Regions from separate parts of the Mus musculus genome. Here regions 1, 2, 3 and 5 are each reported to be linked to region 4. The links are microRNA targets in miRTarBase. Many come from high-throughput screens and were not tested one by one. Region 4 holds a microRNA gene; each other region holds the end of a gene's coding sequence.
What was found. Region 4 holds the annotated microRNA mmu-miR-297c-5p (AUGUAUGUGUGCAUGUACAUGU, at 2,669-2,690, shown strand). A microRNA usually pairs through its seed, bases 2 to 8, with sites in the 3' UTR of a target mRNA and lowers its output. Matches are read on the target gene's strand: a 7mer-m8 pairs with bases 2 to 8, a 7mer-A1 pairs with bases 2 to 7 and ends in A, and an 8mer does both.

Region 1 (4,000 bases), not on the chromosome of region 4:
CATCTGCTCCTAAGGAAAGCTTTCTTTCTCTCTCTCTCTCTCTCTCTCTCTCTCTCTCTCTCTCTCTCTCTCTCTCAGATATTGTAATCTAAATCATTTTAATGCCCAGCGCATCCGTGGAAATCGTTGTGAAGAAACTCTTCTCCTCACTGAGAAGTCTCTGAAGTTTTATGGCAGTACACAGGGAGCATCTTCAAGTATTGATCTTTGGGAGACAGCCCTCTGAAACTGGATTTGATTCTCTTGTGAGACCCGTTATCCACTATTTTCTTCTTCAATCGAATACTTCATACGTTTCACTGGGAAAGTCAACATAAAGAAGAGTGTACTTTATTTACAATGAATAATTATGATCCTTCCAATAAACTATGATGACTTTTAATGATATATTATGCTCTTGAACTAATAAAGCGATTTTAAAGTCTTGGTGATTACTCTGTGACCGGAAACAATCATTTTCCATGTTAGCGTGTCAATCATATTGTATAATCATTACAGTGGTTCAGCAGTTGAAGGTGATATGAAAGATTTATTTATAATTTTAATGTCATTAGAAGCTAAGAAACAATATGCTTCTACTTCTTCTTTCTGTATATTCACTAAGGCTTTATTGCATTCTAGGTATTATAAACCATAAGTAATATGATGTTTAGATAATAAATGTGTATAGAATTCTGCTATATTTGACCTTGGCATTCTACTAAAATATATCTTGATTAAGAAACTTTCTTCAGAATTTAAAAGCAATGTTACTAAAATAGAGGTCGTTTGGTTTGGTTTTATTTGGTCTTATCAGGTTTGGGACAAGATCTCATAGAGCCCAGGCTGCCCTCAAACTTAACTATGTAGCAGAGGATGATCAAAGAAGTGGAAATACAGACAGATGCCTCTCTAGGCCATACAATTATTATTATTATTATTATTGTTGTTGTTGTTATTATTATTATTATTATTGAATAAAGTTAATGTCCTGTCATCTCTTTATCACAATTTGCCTCAGTATGTGACAAAGTTTGGTTTTCAGCCTCCTATTTTAGGCGACTCTGTCTTCTCCCCAAACTGCATGTCTTGTTGACGCTACCCTAAGTTCTTCCATACTGCCGCCCAGACTTTAAAGGTTCTCCCAGCACCCTTCCTTGACTTCCTCTCCAGAACCAGGCTAGATTGGGCAAGAGCATTTTTTTTAACTGTTCATTCCAAGAGACTGTGATTGAATGCCTCTCTTGCTGATCTGTCCAATGTTTAGAGCCATGGAGTAAGAAATGTAGCCAATTGTAACTTGATTAGGTTACAATGTGCATTTTTAAATGCTCTAAGCGCAGTCAAACCCCAGGCGTTTTTCTTATTCCAGCTACTTGCTATGTGTTCCTTTGTTTGGAGGACAAGTTTATAAAGTCAGCTCTATAGGCAGAAATTCTTCCCCACAACTTATTCGTTGTTTTGCACAATTCCCTGGCAAAACAGTGGGGCTGAGCCTGCTGCTCTTACAACTTTCCTCGCTGTGAAAGGTTAAATGCCAAGCTTGCAGTTTTGGGCTTAATGAACACCCCAAAGGAGCCTCATTAATGCAGTATCTAGCGCATTGGTCTCATAATGAACATCCCGAAGATCAAGAAAGTTCCAAACGCCTCATCTTGGTGTAAATGAAAAGCCACAGCGTGCTCTGGCTGTTAGAAAAGGACCGGGACGACTTTGGCCCTTCCCCAAATGTCCCTTCATCTCCTTAATTTCTACATTGTAATGGGGAGGGAAAAAAAAGGTGTTCATTACACTCTCGCTCTTCCTTTGCGATGAAAGAACATCAGAAATTATAAAATTGACCCAAAGCAAGCAGCAGAAGAGCTGAGAACTCGCAGGTTGGCGTTGACACTTGTGATTAGCTAAATTGCAGTAACTACAGACGCTTCGGTTGGGAACAGGGTGCATTCACACGGCAGTTTCTTCTCTAGTGCCTGGCGACATTATCTCTGAGCACCTGGAGTAGTTTAGGCATTAAGTGTAATTGGTTTTGCTTTACATAAATCTGGAGCTTTGTAAATAAGCGGAGCGTTTCAGCTTCTATATAACACCAATTAACTTAAAGGGATGCCTTGTTTGCAGAAACCCGCTGCGTTCCGTACTGTATTTCTCTCATAATGTGCTCACTGGCAGCGAAGTCCTGTGTCCCTGCAGCATATCATAGGTTCCAGCCGCTTCCTCCGAGGGCCTCTCCCAGCCGCTCACTCTCTCCAGCTCACAAAGCGGCTGAAAGGCGGCGGACAGAAGCCAGTCTTCCCTAAAAAGCCCCCTTACGCTGGATTTCTGTTCAAGACTGAAACTTGAATGGAGGGCTTGGAAAATGTTTTCTGTGACCCATGAGCCCACAGGTCTGACCCCAGCTGGTTCTGTCAGCTAATGACAGAGACATCTTTCTCTTTTTCCCTGACAAGAATTCGGTGAAGCCCTAATTCAGACATTGTGCCTATACACAAACAATCTTTACATGTGTTTTCATTATACAAGTTTAACAATAAAGTTTTCCCAACATATTGCCTTGTTTCTTAACAGGAAAACAACAACCACAGTGTCTGAAGAAAAAAAAATAATAACTAGGATCTGGAAGAGGGTAGATTTTTCTCCCAGGCTCTTTGGCCATTTCCCCTTATTATATCTCTCTACTTGGCTGACTTCCTTGTCTGTAGTATCCCCACTTTGATACTCTGAATTCTGGCATTCATCCCATCATTACCAACCTGGAATTCCCAGCACTTTGTGGAACTCTGGAGAATGATCAATAGGTAAGAGCACATACTGTGAGAATATGAGTATGACTCCCAGAACCCAAAAGAAAAACGTTTGGCCTGACCACACATGCTCAGCGTTGATGGGCGGAGACAAGCAGATCAGGGTGTTCCCTGCTTGTCCCGCCAGCATAGCTGACTAGGTAGGTAAGCTTCAGCTTCAGTGAGAGACTCTGTCTCAAGGGAATACATGGGAGAATGATAAGACAAGACTTCCAGCATCCTCCTCCTCTTGCTCTGTGTGCATGGGCATGCGCAGACACAAACACAAGCGTATACCACCCGCATTAACTTTTAAAGTATTTTTATTATTTAACAGAGTACACAAGTGTACATGCACACCACACAGACACACACACACAAACAAATATCACATATGCATACATACATACATACACACATACATATAAATGAATAAATAAAAACAAATTTTGAGCAGAGTTTCAGAAACAGTCATTTCCGCAGACAACTATACTGTTGTTCTTAAGGGTGGCAGGGGCTGCCTTCACAAACAACACTTGATATCACCAACATTAGCTCAGCCCACGTGGGTGAAGCACTCTCCACTGTCAAATTCGAACAAGAAGGAGAAGAATAATCACATCAGGGGCAGAGATTGTGACAAAACATTTTCCTCTGTCAGAACGTACTATGGATCCTTACACTGCCCTCGTGTGGACCCTATAGTCAGGTGCACCCCACTGAAAGATTCTTGGGACCACAGTGGGAGCAGGGACCTCACTCAGAAGTGTCCTTTCAGCTCTGTCATTAAAACCATCTGGATGTTAGTACTACGCTGGTTCTGAACAGCCTTAAAGAAAGGCACTTTGAATGATGGGTAATTGTGAAGATTCTGGTGAGACTTGCACAGTGCTGTCCCATTTCTTAGTATGTTTGCTTACTTAGCAATCAGAGTGACCCTAGGCTTTTAGATAGTCTCAGGGAAGTCTTCCAACAAGAGACTGTGAGCTGTCTCACCTGGGTGCAAGGAACTAACCGGCTCTCTAGGAGCAGGATGTACATTCTTAATTGCTGAGCCTCCAGCCCCCAATACACATCTAGCAGCCATCACTGCTGCATTGGAACCCACCTCTTGGCTGCTATTCCATCTCTCGGATGGAACTCAGGCTGTTCTCAGGCTTACGAAACCACAAGTGGCCAAACTTACATAAACACAGCAGTGAGTCCACAGCCTATGACAAGCGTCTATTACCATGGTA
Region 2 (4,000 bases), not on the chromosome of region 4:
AGGAAAGGTAAGAAAGCAAGGTAAAGGTGAGAAAGTAGCCCCCTCCCTCTGAGCCCATACTGGCGCTTACTGCCTACAGCCCAGCAGTGTCTTCCAGCCCCTGCAGAAAGCCGAGCTGTGATTCCCGCTTTATGGCCTCTGCCAAATGAAGCACAAATTTAACTACATCACTTCCCCAACAGGACAGGGGAGAGGATGGGGGTATCGTGCTGGGCTCCTTCAGCCCCCTAATCTAATCACTGGTGTGGGTCATTTCAATTACGGACAGCAGAGAGCAGTGGGGGACGGAGCTGCTCATAAAAGCCTCCACGCTGGGGCTCAGCTAATTATGAAGTTTTTGCCGTCTCTGCAGGTAAATAACTCAGAACTGAGCAGTGGCAACATCCAAGGAGCCAGAGCCAGGGAACTGAATGGGACATAGACTAGACATGAGACTAGATACGAGTTTAGGCAAGCTGACAAGGAGAATGGGTGGGGTCCCTGGACACTGAGTGGCATTTGCAAGGGATCATAGGAGACCAGTCCTTCCCAGAGTAAACATACCAAGACCTGGGGTGTGTCCTGGATGACTGCCTGCCATGCAAGAACTCTGTCTTGGAGCCATACTCCCTTCATGGCTACTGTGTGGTTTCCTGATTCTCACCCTCTAACCCAGGCAGTGAGGCCACAGGAGCTTTGCTGTGGAGGGAGATTTAACTGGTAAAAGGCTCAGCTTCTTTCTCTACTCCAGCTCTAGAATGTCTGTAAAAGGCGGTATCCCTGGAGGCAAGGGACACCCTCTATCACCTCATTATTTTGTAGCTCAGTTGGCAGGGTGCTTCCTTAGAACACACAGGCCCTCAGTTTATTCTACATGTCATATAAAACCAGGTGTGGTGAGGCATACTTGTAATCCCGTTGTTTAGGAGGTAGAGGCAGTAGGATCAGAAGACCAAGGTCATCCTCAAATACATAGCATGTTTGAGGTGAGGCAGACTGCATGAGACATTCATCTTTAAAAAAAAAATCAAGACAGCGAAATGAACAAAAAGACAGACTACCATGCTCAGGGAGGTCACCATAGCAGAGAGAATAAGATGAAGCAGAGGCTACTTGGCTAGCCCAGGACCTGTGCTTTTCTTTGTATTCAAGACATCACCCTGGAGCAGTGATTTCTTAGATTATGGGGGACAGCAGATGGCAGGAGCAGTCGCAGCTGGGAGAATCCCATTTTTGTTCTGTTCCTCGGATTCCTTCATCTCTGAAACAAAACTCATGAGAAGGAAGAGCGAGTGGAAGGGCTGTAAGCCAGGCTGCAGCCATGTTTCTTCCAGGGCAGAGCACACTCTCTCAGGAGCACTGTAGAGCCATGTGCTCATAGCACTACTGCTTTGGGCTGCAGATCTGGCCCTGGGACTGCCAGCTGATATCAGGGTGGTGGCACTCTAGACAGAGGGAAGTCTACTTAGAGCTCACCTTCCACCAGGGAAGGACTGCTTCTTAAAGGATGTTATAAAGAGCCTAGGTGATGGTTAAGTACAGTAAAAGTGAGCTAGGCAGGATGTGGAATGGAAGTCTCTTTCAGGTCCCTCCACTACAAAGGGACAGTTGATGGCATCAGCCCTTGAACCTTAGATCCTATAATAAAGACACTCACTCCTTGGGAGAAGCAGAGTCCATACTTGAATGCTGATAGAGATGCTGGAAATCAGACCCCACAGCAAAAGCCCCAGAACCTTTCTCTCTATTGAAAGCAGACAGTCCCCTGTTTATATTGTCATCTGTTATTGACTTTTTGAAATGTCATTAAGTTGTTTCATTTTGCTCTCAGAAGTCTGTGACATGGAGATAGTAAATATTTATAGCATCAATTTCAAGGAAGTCAAATTATGGTCTGAGAAATGAAGTTCAAGCTCCCCTGGGTAAACAATGATGGACCAGACCTCCTGGCTCTGACTCCTCCAGCATGTGTTTAAGAAGGAGGAAAGGCCACAGCCATGCCTTTCCAACTGCCCTCTCTGATAACGGGGGTGGGGGTGGGGGTGGGAGGGTGGGAGTGGAGAAGGCTAGCATCAATGTAGAGGCTAACAACACCATAGAGGCAGAGAAGGACAGTGGTAACAAAGTAGGAAGTGAAGAAGGAAACAGGTGGAGTTTGCATGGACACTTCCTGTTCACAAACTTTTTGCGTTCCCCATTTCATTAACGGCAGCAGTGGAATTTCATGGACAATTGGCGTTGAGCACTAACTGGGAGGTAATGAAAGAGGGGGTGCAGGTAAAAGCTGTTGGAATTTAAATTCTTTTTCTTCAGGGTGGGGATGGGAGGGCAGATTTTTTTTAAAGGCAATTTCAGTCCTGGAATAGGTTTCTAGAAAACAGCTTTGGACTTTCATGGCCTATGCTGGAAGCATCAGGATGTATAATGTCTCTAAGCCTTGCTGTGTCGTTCTGCCCACTAGCCACCTGAGGACCACCCTCAGTGATGGATAGAGATGTGGATGCCCAGGAAACTGGATGTCTGACCACCTTCAGTGAAGAATAGTGATATAGATGCCCAGGGAGGGCCCAGACAGGATGTCTGACCTTGGGTGGATCTTGTCCCTCGGACTTGAGAAAGCACCTCAGACACTTGTCCATCAAGCAGTGAGCTGGAATGAAGTGCTTTGTGATTATTGCTGCAGGGTCCCCACATGTAGAACTCTAGGGACCTGGGCTAGGTGTGGGGGAAGCAGAAAGAGCAGACAGGAAACTGGAAGCCCACACTCATACCGAAGACTCCAACCAGAACCGTCTGTTGATAGCAGGCAAGTCTCAAGTTTATTTTCATCATCTATTTTGTACTTTTCAAGATACCGTTGAGCCATTTGGCTTGATTTTTGCCTTCATAATTCTATGATATAGAAAGAGTAAATATTGACACCCCCTGCTTTAAATAAGGCAAACTGAAGTGAAGTCTGAGGTCTCCTAAATGGGCAGTGATAGAACCAGGCTCAGCGTCAGGGGCCGGAAGCATGTAGCCCATTAGGTAATCTATGTATGTATGTATGTATGTATGTATGTATGTATGTATGTATGTATGTATATCCCTCTTCTTCCTCTTATACACACATGCATTAAAAAGGCTACCAAATATTTAAGGGGAGAAGGTTATAAAATAACATGAGACCAAAGACAGAATTGAGGAGACAATAATGTATTGATGAACCTGGAGGATTTAAGCAGGTTTGAGCAGGGCTTAAGCCAAGCTAACATATAGACTGTTGAAGCAGAAGATATCAAATGGAGCTGGACATGGTGGCACAATACATGCAACCTCAGCAATTGGAAGGTAGAGGCTGGAATGTCAGGGGTTCAAGGTTAGCCTGGACTATAAGAGACCCAGCTTCAAAAATCTAAAAGCAAACTTTTTTTTCCTTAAACCTAAGTGTACGCAGTTGCTGCTGGTTCAGGGAGAGTGAAAGCTTGCTTGTCACTGCATACTCTATTCTGTTTAGACATCTTTATTATGAACATGTAGGTTTACTGGTTTGGTCAATAGCCAATAAGATACTTGTCTCTGTAGTCACTGAAAAGAGACAATAGCATCCTGGAGGCTACCCACCCCTTCTTTTCAGACCCTCTCCAAGCACTGTTCAGCTTTCCCTACATGTTGTAACCCCATATCAAGTGAGACCAGCGGTCTCCATTGTCACATTCTGCTCCACAGTGCCCAGAGAGAGCATAAGGTGACGGTATAGAGCCCCAGCACGGCAAGGTAGATTCGGAAGAGCAGCTGATCAAAGCGATACAGGATGGCCAGCCACTCCACCTCCTTCTGGTGAATCTGATCCCGAGTTCGAAGAGAGTTGTTGATGGACCGGAACTGGAACCAGAAATCCTTCAGAGTATCTGATGGGACCCGATGCTCCTGATGGACCGGGGACTCTGTGTGATAGAGGGGAGCACTCTGAATGAACCAGGAGCTACTTGTTCTTATTCTTTAAGGAAAAGTCTTTGCTGGAATTGGGGACTCTCACCCT
Region 3 (4,000 bases), not on the chromosome of region 4:
AATGACGTGTACCTCATGTGGTATTGAGGGCACATTTCCTGTTTATGGTCGCCATGGGTTGTAGGTGGCACCTATGACATTGGGTTTGGGCCAGTAGCTCATATCTGTATGAAAGAAAAAACACTACAAGATGGAAGTTTGTTTGGCTGAAGTTTGGAGAGGGATTCTCTAAGCAAAGCAGGTAGAAGCCAAGTACAGTGGTGCCATTGTTAATCCCAGTGCTTGGGAGGCACAGGCCAGAGGATCGAGGCCAGCCTACACTTTGGAGAAAGACCTTGTTTCAAAATGGGGTTAATAACATATGCCTTTAATCCTAGCACTTAGGAAACAGGTGGCAGAGCAGCCAGGCTACACAATGAGACTTTGTCTCCAAAAAGGGGAGGGGGTACCTCTTGGGTTTTTGGTGGGTAATCAAGAAATCAGCTAACAGATACTTCCCTCTCCTCCCCACCCCTGCATTAGGAAAGTGGGAGTGCCCGTGGCATCGGTGTGACGAGTGTGGCAGTGTAGCCGTTTCCTTCTGTGAATTCTGTCCACACTCATTCTGTAAGGCTCATGGAAAAGGGGCTCTGGTGCCCTCTGCACTAGAAGGTCGTCTCTGCTGCTCCAGCCACGACCCTGCATCTCCTGTGTCACCAGAATACTGGAGCAAGATCAGATGTAAATGGGAATCCCAAGATAGTGGAGAAGAAGTAAAGGAGTGAGCGGTGGTGACCTCCTCCCACTGCTCTCAGTAAAGAGGCGCAGAGAGGCCACGCCTGCCCTGCCCTGCCGTCAGTCCGCCTTGACGGAGATGGGCGCCAGCTCACACAGGCTAAAGCACTTGCTGGTGTCTGGGTTTTCTATTTTGTTGTTTGGGGGATAATTTTGTGGACAGCAAAATTCCCTTGGTCTCTTCTTGCCTTTCATTGTGCTTCAGTGTCTTTGCAATCAGCAAAAGAGGTGTCCTTGTTTTTAGAGTTGAGAGAGAGAAAATTAAAAGAAAGTTTTGTCTATACGATCAGTGTAAAGCCTAAGATGTACTCCCGGGTTATGTAAAGTGAAAGTAGTCATTCCTGTATTTATTTTCATTTTTAGGTATTCTGAGAAGTGTAGTTCAAACAATCTAACCTCCATGAGTGCTCGTGCGTGTACGTGCGCGTGTGCGTGTGTGTGCAAGCGTGCATGACTGTCACCTTTATATACCTCTTTCCTGAGCCATAGAGTGGCTAACTTCTCTTTCCTTTTTCCCGGGCCTTTTCTCGGGTCAGAGAAGGCTCTCAGCAAGTATTCAGACTGGCCTCTTGAAAACAAACTCCTTGACAGCATTTACCTCTGTGGTCTTAAACTGGGTGGGCTTCATGGTGCGCCAACTCTACGTAGAAATATCTTAGAGGGACAAGGAGTGAGTGCATTCTACTCATTGTGATTTTCTGAAACATTTGAGGGATGTGAATACATAGGGGAATGCTCATTCCTGCTGTCCTGACCACTGGCAAGAGGCTAAAGAAAGATAAGGCACAGACCAAACATTGGATCATATATGCACCATTTTCTGACCAATTTAATGTAGACTCCAGTCTAACCTGGAATTTAAGGGCATTTTATTTTCTGTCTTTCCCTCTGCCAATCATGTTTCCTTTGCCAGCTGGGTCACTCAGTCATGTTTCCTGGTAAAGCTATATAACTGAATCTGAATTATATGAAATAGACTTTTTCAGTTGATTTCCTAACTTAGGGATGATGCAAGTGGACAGAAACATCCCTAAGTTATATGTGAACCATTTCTACTTAGTATTATGCAATACTTAAGACTGTCCCCATTGCATAAGGGGAAGAACTTGCTCTTTTACAGGGTATGTAGGAGCCACAGAGATGCTCCATGTAGAAAGCACTTGAAACCGCCCCCCACAAAGTCAGTGTTTGCAAACATGGCTGTGAGGTTTGAATAGTACAGACCCAAGCATACCAAGGCGTCGGCCCGCAGAATTCACTTGCATCTAGCACTTAGGATCTAGTCCAGTATTACTTGTGTGAAATCATGTCAGACATGGTAACATTAGACTAAATAAAAATCTAGTGTTACCATGAAATATGAACTTCCTCAGTGTGTTTCAACTGCTTACTGGAGGTACCCAGTAGGCTCTCTTCTCCTCAAGAACCTATACTTTACTAACGTAGGGCACGAGATGCTCTATGACACCCTGTAGTTATGTTAGGTGCGTTTGTCCTTTTTTTAGTTTTTTACAAATCAATTCAGACCTCATCTCTGGACAAAAGAAAGAGCAATTTTGTGCCTCTTTTTTTTAAATATATATAAATGTGCAATTTATAGGCAACAGACACTACAGTTCCTCTCTAAGCTCCTGAACTGCCATTTACCTAGTCTAGCACTTGTGGTAATCCCGCTGGCTAGACAAGCTCCTGTGAGGAGGGAGACAGGACGGTACCCAGCACCCAGTGCAGTCCCTACGACCGACTCGAACGAAGCACAGCCCACGCAAACACTAAACTCTCTGCTCTTGAGCAATTATGAAGTTTGATGTCCTTTAAAACAATAATGTAAGAGTATCTGGGTTTTGTCATATTAAATTTTATTTTATACAGACATAACATTTTTTAAACTTGTTGATAAGCGACTTCCTTTGATATTCCAAATGTAACCCTCATGAGAACAATGTCCGATATGAGATTGTATCTTGTTTCCTTTTTGACCTCGTGCTTTTTAGTATCTGATAACTTTTATAGAGTAAGCCCCAGGGTTCATCATGTATTTATAAATACCCTACCCTGACCTATCTCTCTCCTGCTTCTCTGCTATGGCTCGCTTGTTTTTATATCTATAAAAGGACTTTGCACTTTTCAGATCTTTTCCTACTAGATGACTAACAGGCTTGCTCTCAGAAGCCTGCCTGCTCCAAGCCAAGTGCAAGGGCGACTGCCTGTGCCATCATCGCAGCCTGGGTCTTAGAACTGAGGGTTAGGAAGCAGAACGTTGGCTGACTGGTGTAAGTATACGTACACCGTCGGTCGTTTCATGTCCTGTGTCAGTGACATTGCAAGGCACTGTGCTTACTCGGAGCCTGAAGCTGCTTGGTGGTAGCTTTTCAATATGGTTTAGGTATACAGCATTTGTGGTTGATTTTATTCAGCCCAGAAATAAAGGACTCAAAGCAGCATGGGATACTAGTGGTATTTCCTAACCTCAGGAGGAAGATGAGAGTTCTGGTTATCAGTGGAAAGCTTTAGAAATTGGGCTGGAAAGAGCTAGAGATGATAGCACGAGACCATCACAAGCACTGTGCCTTGTAGGTGTCGCTGGGCCGCCAGGGTAGCTGCCTGTGTCTGGCCAAGCAGGATGGGACCAGTGCTCGTCACTGCCAGTGTGCTGCAGTAACCTCTGATTTCAGTCTCCAGTCAGGGTGGGGATCAGAGTGGAGTAGGTTTTATCTTCACTTTTGCTTTGCAAGCCCTACCTACTCTTATTTTAATTCTCAAAAATTACCTTTCCTAAGCTGTAGAATAGACTTGAGTTTTCTGTGCGTTATATAAATAACATATATATATATATAAATATAAAATGTTTTATATATATAAGTGGTGTGTGTGTGTGTGTGTGTGTGTGTGTGTGTGTGTGTGTGTGTACACATACATACTGAGTTAGGAAGTATTTGAAACTAAAGAGATAATAAGGGCCTGCAGCCCACTGCTTCTGTCAGTGTCTCCCACTGCAGTGTTTGCGGAAGTGTGTGTAACTAATATGGATCTGAGATACTGAGGGTCTGTCTGCTCATGTGAAATACTCGGCTGGACTGGTAGGCAGCTTTTATGCAGTGGCTTCTTTTTTGAGTACTTTCTTACTGTTTCGGGTCAAAGCCAGACTACAGTTTGAAGTCCTCCCATTATCTGTTCAGAACATAGACCCGGCTCTCCAAGACCTGCCGCTAATCTTGTCAAAACAACACTCCTCTTGCAGCACTTCCCCACGGAGCTAAAATGCTGCCAACCACATGCCATGCCC
Region 4 (4,613 bases):
ACCCATACACAGACACACATATGAATGCCACTCCTCAGTCCATTTGAATGATATGTGACTTAGAGTTTTAAGATTCCTCAGTACTGAATAGGGAGAGGTCTCACTCAGCAGGTGAAATCCCTTGCCAGAGTCAGGTGGATCAGGAGTTCAAATTTGTGCTGAATTTCATGATGAGTTGGAAATCAGCACGGGATTCATGTGATGCCCACCAAGAATGTGCATGTGTGTATAGTTGTGTGCATATTCATTTCTCTATATGAATATGCATATGCACACATGCACACACATTCATAGGAATGGCCAGAGTTATTTCTTAGGTAGGAGGTGAATAATCTTGCTAGAGTCAGGAGAATATGGTGTTCAAGTTTATGTTTAACTTCATGATGCATTAGAGATCAGCATGTGTTTCATTGATGCACACCAAAATGTGCATGTGTGTGTAGTTGTGTGCATATTCACTTCTCTATGTGAATATGCATATACACACATGCAGACACAGGAATGGCACTCATATATCCTTTGGAATGGTATGTGACTCAGAGCTTTAGAGCTTATGCAGTGCTGGGCCAGAGCTATGTCTCAGTTAGGAGGTGGATGCTCTTGCCAGCGTCAGGAGGTCCCAGAGTTCAAATTCATGTTTAACTTCCTGATGAGTTACAGATCAGCCTGTTATTCATGTGATTGTTTCTGTGTATGTGTATAGATAAGTTTGTCTGTACATGCGGATATATGAAAAGACATATATTGACACATATTCACACATGCATGCATACAGAAACACATGGCAGTCATCCATAAGTTTTATATGTGCTTAGAATTTCATAGAGTGTATATTTATGGTACAGTGAAATATCTCGCCAACTAGATGAAAACCGCTTGCCAGAATCAGAAGTCTTGGAGTTCAGAATCATGCTTAACTTAATGATCAGTTAGTGATCATCCTGGATTCGTGTGATGGACCCTAGGTATGTACATGCACACATAATTTTGTGTGCATGTACATGTGTGTATATGATTATACATAACACACACACACACACACACACGTATAAAAGCAAGCACACACACACCAAGGTATGGCATTCATCGATCCATTTGAATGATATATGTCTTAGAATGTTACTGATTATGCAGTAGAAGGACAGTGAATGGTCTCACTCACAAGGTGTAAACAATTGGCATTGTCAGGAGGATCAGGAGTTCAATTTCATGCTTAACTTCATGAGCAGTTAGAGATCATCCTGGAATAATGTGATGGCCCCTATGTATGTGCCTGTGTGCATAAGTGCGCGCATGTATATGCGTGTATATTTTATGCATATACATACACACACCTACACACACATGCACACAGACATGCGGGAATGGCCCTCACGGATCCATTTGAATGATATGTGACCTACTGCTTTGGAGGTTATGTATGACTGGGCCAGGGTGAGGTCTCACAAACCACGGGAAAACCCTTGGTAGAGTCGGGAAGATCAGGAGTGCAAGTTCATGGTAAAGGCATGATGAGTTAGAGGTCATCCTGGCATTCATGTGATTGCCCCTATGTATGTGTATATGTGTTTATGTGTGTGTACATGTACATATGTGAATATGATATCCATATACATACACGCACACATAAGACACATATGAGCACACAGGCACACAGGAATGGCACTCACTCATTGATCTATGTGACTGTGAGCTTTGGAGATTATGTGTGACTAGGTCAGGGAGAGTTATCACCCATCATGTTAAAAATGCTTGTTAGAATCAGGAGGTCAGGAGTTCAAATTCATGCTTTATTTCATGATGACTTAGAGATCTGCCTGGGAATCATGTGATGTCCCCATGTATGTGTATATGTGTGTAACTGTGTGTGGATTGTGTATATGAATATACATACCTACACACACATAGACCCATCCACAGACACAGACACACACACGCATGCCACTCCTCAGTCCATTTGAATGATATGTGACTTAGAGTTTTAGAGATTCTGCAGTACTCAATAGGGAGAGGTCTCACACCACAGAGTCAGGTGGATCAAGAGTTCAAATTCATGTTTAACTTCATGATGAGTTAGAGATCAGCATGCTATTCATGTGATGACCATAAAGAATGTGCATGTGTGTATAGCTTTGTGCACATACACTTCTCTATATGAATATGCATATACACGCATGCACACACACTCACTCACAGGAATGGCCAGAGCTATGTCTCAGTTAACTTACCAGGTAAAACGCTTGCCTTTTGGATCAGCAGTTCAAATTCCTGAATAACTTCAAAATGACCTAGGGATCAGCCTGGCCTCATGGCATCCTCCCCCCATATATGTGCATGTGTGTATAGTTTTGTGTATATGTACATGTGTGTATACAAATATACATCTACATACAGACAAACATAAACACACAGGCACGCACACACACACACACACACACGCGCACACACACAGAGGAATGTCACTCATTGATCCTTTTGAATGACAGGTGACTCAGAGCTTTAGAGATTATGCAGGGCTGGGCCAGTGAGTGCTCTCACTCACAAGGTGAAAATGCTTGCTTGCCAGACTTTGGATGACCAGGAATCAAAATTCATGCTGAACTTCATGATGAGTTCGTGATCAGCTTCGGAGTCTTGTGATGACCCTAGTATATATGCCTGTGTGTATATGTATGTGTGCATGTACATGTGTGTATATGAATATACATATACATACACACATACCCATACAAACATGCATACAAACACACAAAAATTGGCACTCATCCATCTATTTGAATAATTAGTGACTTAGAGTCTTAGAGATTCTGTATGACTGGGGCTGACAGAGAGAGGTCTCAGTCACCAGGAGAAGACTTGCTAGATTCAGGGTGATCAGGAGTGCACATTCATGTTAACGGCATGATGAGTTAGAGATCAGCCTGGCATTCATGTGATGCCTCCATGTATGTGCATGTGTGTATAGTTGTGTGTGGATGTGTGTATTTGCATATAAATAACATACACACACACACACAAGTAAACACAAGTGCACAAACAGACACAGGAATGCCATTCATCGATCCATTGGAATGATAAGTGATTTAGAGTTTTAGAGATTTTGAAGTAGAGACGGTGAATTGTCTCACTCACCAGTTGTAAACGATTGAAAGAGTCAAGAGGATCTGGAGTTCCAATTCACTCCTATGTTCAGCTAGATAGCATCCTGGTATTCATGTGATATCGCCCATGTGTGTGCATGTGAGTATAGTTGTGTGTGCATGTCTGTATTTGAATATACATAACATACACACACTAATGCAAGTACACACACACACACACACACACACACACACTCACACCAATGCCACTCATCAATCCATTGGAATGATGTGTCACTTAGAGTATTAGAGATTATGCAGTACTTGGCCAGTGAGTGCTCTCAGTCTCTAGGTGAAAATGCTTGCTAGAGTTAAGAGTATTCAGGAGTTAAAACACATACTGACCTTCATGAGGATTTAGAGATCAGCCTGTGATTCATGTGATGGCCCCATGATTGTGCATGTGTATATAGTTGTGTGTGCATGTTCATGCATGTATTTGCATATACATAACATACACGTATAAACGCAAGCACACACACATAGAGACACAAGAATGGCTTTCATCGATCCCTTTGAATGATATGTCACTTAGCATATTAGAGATTATGCAGTACTTGGCCAGTGAGTGCTCTTATTCTCTAGGTGAAAATGCTTGCTAGAGTTAAGAGTATCAGGAGTTTAAATTCATGCTTATCCTCATGAGAGATCAGCCTGAGATTCCTCCATGTATGTGCATGTGTGTATAGTTGTGTGTGCATGTTCATGTCTATATTTGAATATACATAACATACACACACACGTATAAACGCAAGCACACACACAGACACAGGAATGGCATTCATTGACCCATTTAAATGATATGCCACTCAGAGTAGTAGAGATTATTCAGTATGGGGCAAGTGAGTGCTCTCATTCTCTAGGTGAAAATGCTTACTATAGTTAGGAGTATCAGAAGTTCAAATTTATGCTTATCTTCAGCATGATTTAGAGATAAGCCTGTGATTCATGTGATGCCTTAAGTGTACATGCAGGTTTGTATAGTTGTGTGTGTATGTTCATGTGTCTATATGGATATACATAACATATACATAGACATATAAACCCTAGCGTGCACACACACACACACACACACACACACACACACACACACACACACACGAATAACATTCATAGATCCATTTATATGATATGCCACCTAGAATATTAGAAATTATTCAGTACTGGGCCAGTGAGTGCTGTCATTTTCTAGGTAAAAATGCTTGCTAGAATCAGGAGTATCAGGAGTTCAAATTCATGCTTATCTTCAGGAGGATATAGATATCTGCCTGTGATTCATGTGATTGCCACCCATGTATGTGCATGGGTGTATAGTTTTGTGTACATGTGCATGTGTGTATATGAATAGACATAACATGCACATACATATAAACACAAGCACACACACACACAGAGACACAGGAATGACACTCATCGATCCATCTGAATGATAGGTGACTTAGAGTTTTAGAGATTATGCAGTAGTGGGACAGT
Region 5 (4,000 bases), not on the chromosome of region 4:
GCGGGGTGGGGGTGGGGGGCTCAGCACATGAAGGGCTTGAACCCCATGGTGGGCGGGGCACAGAGCAGCAGAGAATAGACTCCTGCAGGCTTTCCTCTCAGCTCCACAAAGCAGGTAGGTAAATAAACAAATGTAATAAAACACTAAAAAATAAGTAAATAAAAGAGAGTTAAAGAAATGGCTTGAAATGTGCATTGTTTTTGAATAATTTTCTCATCCAGTCACCAGTGACCTAATGTGCTGATGAAAAATACAGCTTTATTCCACTTTACCAAACACCTGGAGTTGTGAAAAAGTTAAGATAGAAGAGAAAGAAAACACAAATTCAGTATTTTTTTTAAACCAGATTTAAGATTTTTTTTTTTAATTCAAATCGACCCAAAGCAAAACTTACGTTACAAAGAAAGAACAGAATATATTATGATACAACACACTGGGAGTTACATGAAAGCTAAATTTGTGGGCAAACAGCCTTGTCCCAATTCCACCCTGGGCTAACAGGTGATTCAGTAGGGAAGTTAGAAACTCTTTCTCATGGTCCACTCTGGCCATTAAGCTACGCTTTCCTGGTGTCTTACGAGGGAGGAGTCTGACAGGTCATGCTAGTCTCCCCCATGCTTTACAAGCGACTCCAGCCACTGCCAGAGTGCTGACCTCTCCAGCAGAATCGTCACTCCAAGCATGACTGGTAATGAATTAAAAAAAAAAAAAACAAACAATCAAGTCACCCAAACTAATAAGCAGGGGTTATTCTGTAGTAAATAGTTTAGAAATATGGGAATTAAATAATCTAAAAAAACACTCTTAACTCTGCTGTACATTTATAAACACAAATATTTACAAAGAAACACCCTTGTTTTCAAAAGATGAGGTTTGCAGTTCGTTAATGATCATATTTTATGAGCTGGTTTCTTTGGTGTATTCGCCAAATGCATTTTATAAAGTTTTAGTAATAGGCTTAAATAATAAATTTCAAAAGAAGCGCAAAAGACTCAGTGTGAATTTTGAGTCAACGGGCTGTGTTATGAGGGGCTGTTTTCTCTCCTAGGGCCACAGACTGCTTCTCTGATAACAAATTCAGGGGCAGACCTGCATGGTCACCACAACCACATCAGCAACTGGACAGCCCTTCCGTTACCATAGAATACAGCACAGGACTGGGGTCTAGTATAAACAAAGGACATTCTCTCAAGCTTCCAGATAAATCAAACCACAAACAATAAATAATGGAATTATACACTTCTTCATTAAATAGAATTTTCAATTCCTGGAAGAGCACTCAGAATTGTTTTTGTTTTTTTGTTTTTTGTTTTTTTTTCTGAAGTCACAGCAGTAAACAGCACAAAGAATTTGCCTTAATATGATCTTTTTATTTGGGATCCCCTGATTCAATTCGATTTCAGTGGCTTAGTTCAGAACCCTCTGAATGGCTGGAAAGTGAATGTCACTTTTAACTTACAAAATAAATTAATTTTCATGTATGATTCCTGTGCAACTGGACACTAATATGGCAGCTCAGAGTCCAGACTCTCAGCTCTCCTCCCACCACTTTCCATGCTGGGCTGGGGCTCTAACACAAGTTACACTCAACTAATTTCTGGTCACTTTGTGTCCCTAAGGCTGGTAGTGTGTCTCCAGCCCTGACCTGGGGCCTGAATAAAGACTGAGAACACAGCTTTGCAGGTGCCTTAGAAGGGGACTCTCCATGGAGGTAACCTTTCAGCCAGGGTCACCACAGCCATCCCTATCTTCCTGGGTCCCAGCTATCACTCTGGCCTCATGCTCTCCCTGAAGGAGGCTATGGGCCACATCAGCAAGTCCCTGAAGCATCCTTTTGCCTGTTCAGGAATCCCTGTGCCACCTAGGCACACGCAAACCCAATGTTCTGCGGTCACAGCTACTCTGGCCAAGACGGCAAGCTTTGGGCTTGAGTGAACAACACTGCTAGCCTGAACTCAGGGAAACCTAATTCTGCTTAATTATGTTAGGAGGGGAAGACTTTACCCTCTATGCCTTCAAACTGGCAATTCTGACAAGAAAGGAGAAGCCCTTATCCTGCAACCTTTTGATAGCAAATTTATTAACAGTTTATAAATATTTAAAAAATTTGTCACAGCACTAAGAATGGCATGGGGAACTTAAAAGGGGGTGTCTTCAAACTAACATAACGTCAAATGAAGCAGTGAGTGTGTGTCCCCAGGAACACCCATGATGCCTAGGGCCTCTGGGCCCTCCCCCTTGTTACTAACACTTTACTACATCCGGGTCTTTCTTGCACATACTTGTCCAACCAACCCAGAAAATTAAAATATTTGTCTTGAAGAGCTTTACTGTACTCACCTTCAAAATAGACAGGAAATACTTAATTAGCGTATCAGCAATTTGCCAGGCTTACAAAAGGGTGCCCATTAGAGACTTTCCCCTTAAAATATATATGTATACATATTACCAGGAAGGCAAAAAAATCCACCAAGAAACCACCCTGAAATATTTAGTCATTAAAGTAGAATGGTTTAGCAAGAATGTGGGCTATTTCTAGGGACCTCTGTCATCACCAGAATATGAAATTTGTTCTTTAAGGTGAAATAAAACACAAAGTTTAAGGTGGAAACTGAGGTGATCCTGGTGGCCTGCTGTGGGATGGAGGTGGTGATGATGGCTCCAAGGGGCACAAGGAAGCCAACTGAAGAACAGGAAGAGCAAACCATCCAGAGACGACACCAAGAGAGTTGCACAAGAGGCACCATTTTTTGTTTTTGTTTTGTTTTTTAAAAAACAGAATACACTGGCTTTAAAAAGTTAATTCCTTTCCCCATTGATTTTGTTTTAAAAGCACAATTCAATAAGAGAGGGGGTGGGGGAGTTGAAACACAATGTTTCAGGGTAGTGTCTTACAGTTGTTAAAAAAAATAATTTAAAAAAAAAGCGCACACCAAAGGAAGCCGAGGTCCTGGGTTGGTTTTTTTCATCGGAAAGCTACATTAATTAGAAGGGAAAAAGGATTTTTAAACAGCTCATCTGTACTCATTAAAAATGAATGAGGCGACAGCATTACTGTAAGTTTCTTCACAGAGAATTTTCCAGCATCACCCAGGATCACAGGAGGTGAGCCTGAGACCTCCAAACTTTAAGAAGTATTCCGTCTACTGGTTCCTAGTACCGTGTTCACCAATGAAACCAGAGCATCAAAAGGGAAAATTCTCTGCTTCAAACCTGTCTATATTGTGCACTTAGGAAAAACAAATTTTCTAAATGCAGTATTGTATAGAAAGGCTTGGACCTCATCGACTTGGACCAAGAAACCAAATTAAGACCTTCAAGCGTGGGGTGTGTATGTGTGAGTGTAGACACACACACACACACACACACACACACACACACACACACAGATCCCTCCCCCAAATGAAATCCAAACAAACATAAACCTAAAAGTGTATACCTGCTTTCTGACTTGACCGCAAATCAGAAATTGCATAGGATATACTTTGTGCAAGGCCTGAAGCCTTTTAAGTATCTGGAATAACTCGTAATCTTGTCCACAGTCCAGGTGTATCAGATATCATCAAATTTGTGTTTTAAGTAGTCTTTCATGACCTTGGCAATTGGTAGCTCATCAAGCAGCTTCAGGTTTTGAAGGCCTATACACTGTCGAATTTTAATTCGGCACAGGTCCTGCAGGGTTCTGGGCTGTCCTAAAATGACAGAGAAAAGAGAACGTTACAGAGGTACAAAGCATTGGAGAGGGAGGGATGTGAGGGAAGGCATTGTCTGAGGAAGGGTCTACTGTGGATCTTACAGTCAAAGGACTGACCGAGATTCTCAAGTGTCATCTGTCCCTTCCTGTGGTGTCTCACCCACTTGGTCTTTTCCAAAACTCTTTACAAGGCGGTAATGTTATGGTCTGAGTATGCAATGGTCCTGTCAGGCACCCGATTAGAATATTCTGTGCCTGAATGATGGTACTGCCTTGGTGAGTGCTGTGGAATCTCCAGGAGGTGGG

Region 1: the mRNA of Slc15a5 is a reported target of mmu-miR-297c-5p. Seed matches in the 3' UTR shown: 7mer-A1 at 898-904.
Region 2: the mRNA of Htr3b is a reported target of mmu-miR-297c-5p. Seed matches in the 3' UTR shown: 7mer-m8 at 3,055-3,061, 7mer-m8 at 3,051-3,057, 7mer-m8 at 3,047-3,053, 7mer-m8 at 3,043-3,049, 7mer-m8 at 3,039-3,045, 7mer-m8 at 3,035-3,041 and 5 more.
Region 3: the mRNA of Nsd3 is a reported target of mmu-miR-297c-5p. Seed matches in the 3' UTR shown: 7mer-m8 at 3,626-3,632.
Region 5: the mRNA of Asb7 is a reported target of mmu-miR-297c-5p. Seed matches in the 3' UTR shown: 7mer-m8 at 3,331-3,337.

Annotation. Positions count from the first base shown.
Region 1 is chr6:137,980,576-137,984,575 of GRCm38, reverse strand. Slc15a5 (solute carrier family 15, member 5) reads left to right here. Exons shown (of 9, transcript NM_177787.4): 9 at 79-986. The coding sequence ends at 226. Among named protein-coding and RNA genes, the nearest start is that of Slc15a5, 97 kb to the left of the region's middle.
Region 2 is chr9:48,932,231-48,936,230 of GRCm38, forward strand. Htr3b (5-hydroxytryptamine (serotonin) receptor 3B) reads right to left here. Exons shown (of 9, transcript NM_020274.4): 9 at 2,778-3,905. The coding sequence ends at 3,670. Among named protein-coding and RNA genes, the nearest start is that of Htr3a, 23 kb to the left of the region's middle.
Region 3 is chr8:25,713,697-25,717,696 of GRCm38, forward strand. Nsd3 (nuclear receptor binding SET domain protein 3) reads left to right here. Exons shown (of 23, transcript NM_001081269.2): 23 at 463-4,000. The coding sequence ends at 704. Among named protein-coding and RNA genes, the nearest start is that of Plpp5, 4.4 kb to the right of the region's middle.
Region 4 is chr2:10,506,358-10,510,970 of GRCm38, forward strand. Mir297c (microRNA 297c) reads left to right here and starts at 2,659; the gene lies at 2,659-2,756. All of the region lies in intron 10 of Sfmbt2 (Scm-like with four mbt domains 2), which reads left to right. It overlaps Mir467d (microRNA 467d), which reads left to right and starts at 1,273; the gene lies at 1,273-1,357. Mir466 (microRNA 466) reads left to right here and starts at 1,561; the gene lies at 1,561-1,633. It also overlaps Mir669c and Mir669a-2.
Region 5 is chr7:66,644,234-66,648,233 of GRCm38, forward strand. Asb7 (ankyrin repeat and SOCS box-containing 7) reads right to left here. Exons shown (of 6, transcript NM_080443.2): 6 at 332-3,692. The coding sequence ends at 3,553. Among named protein-coding and RNA genes, the nearest start is that of Asb7, 43 kb to the right of the region's middle.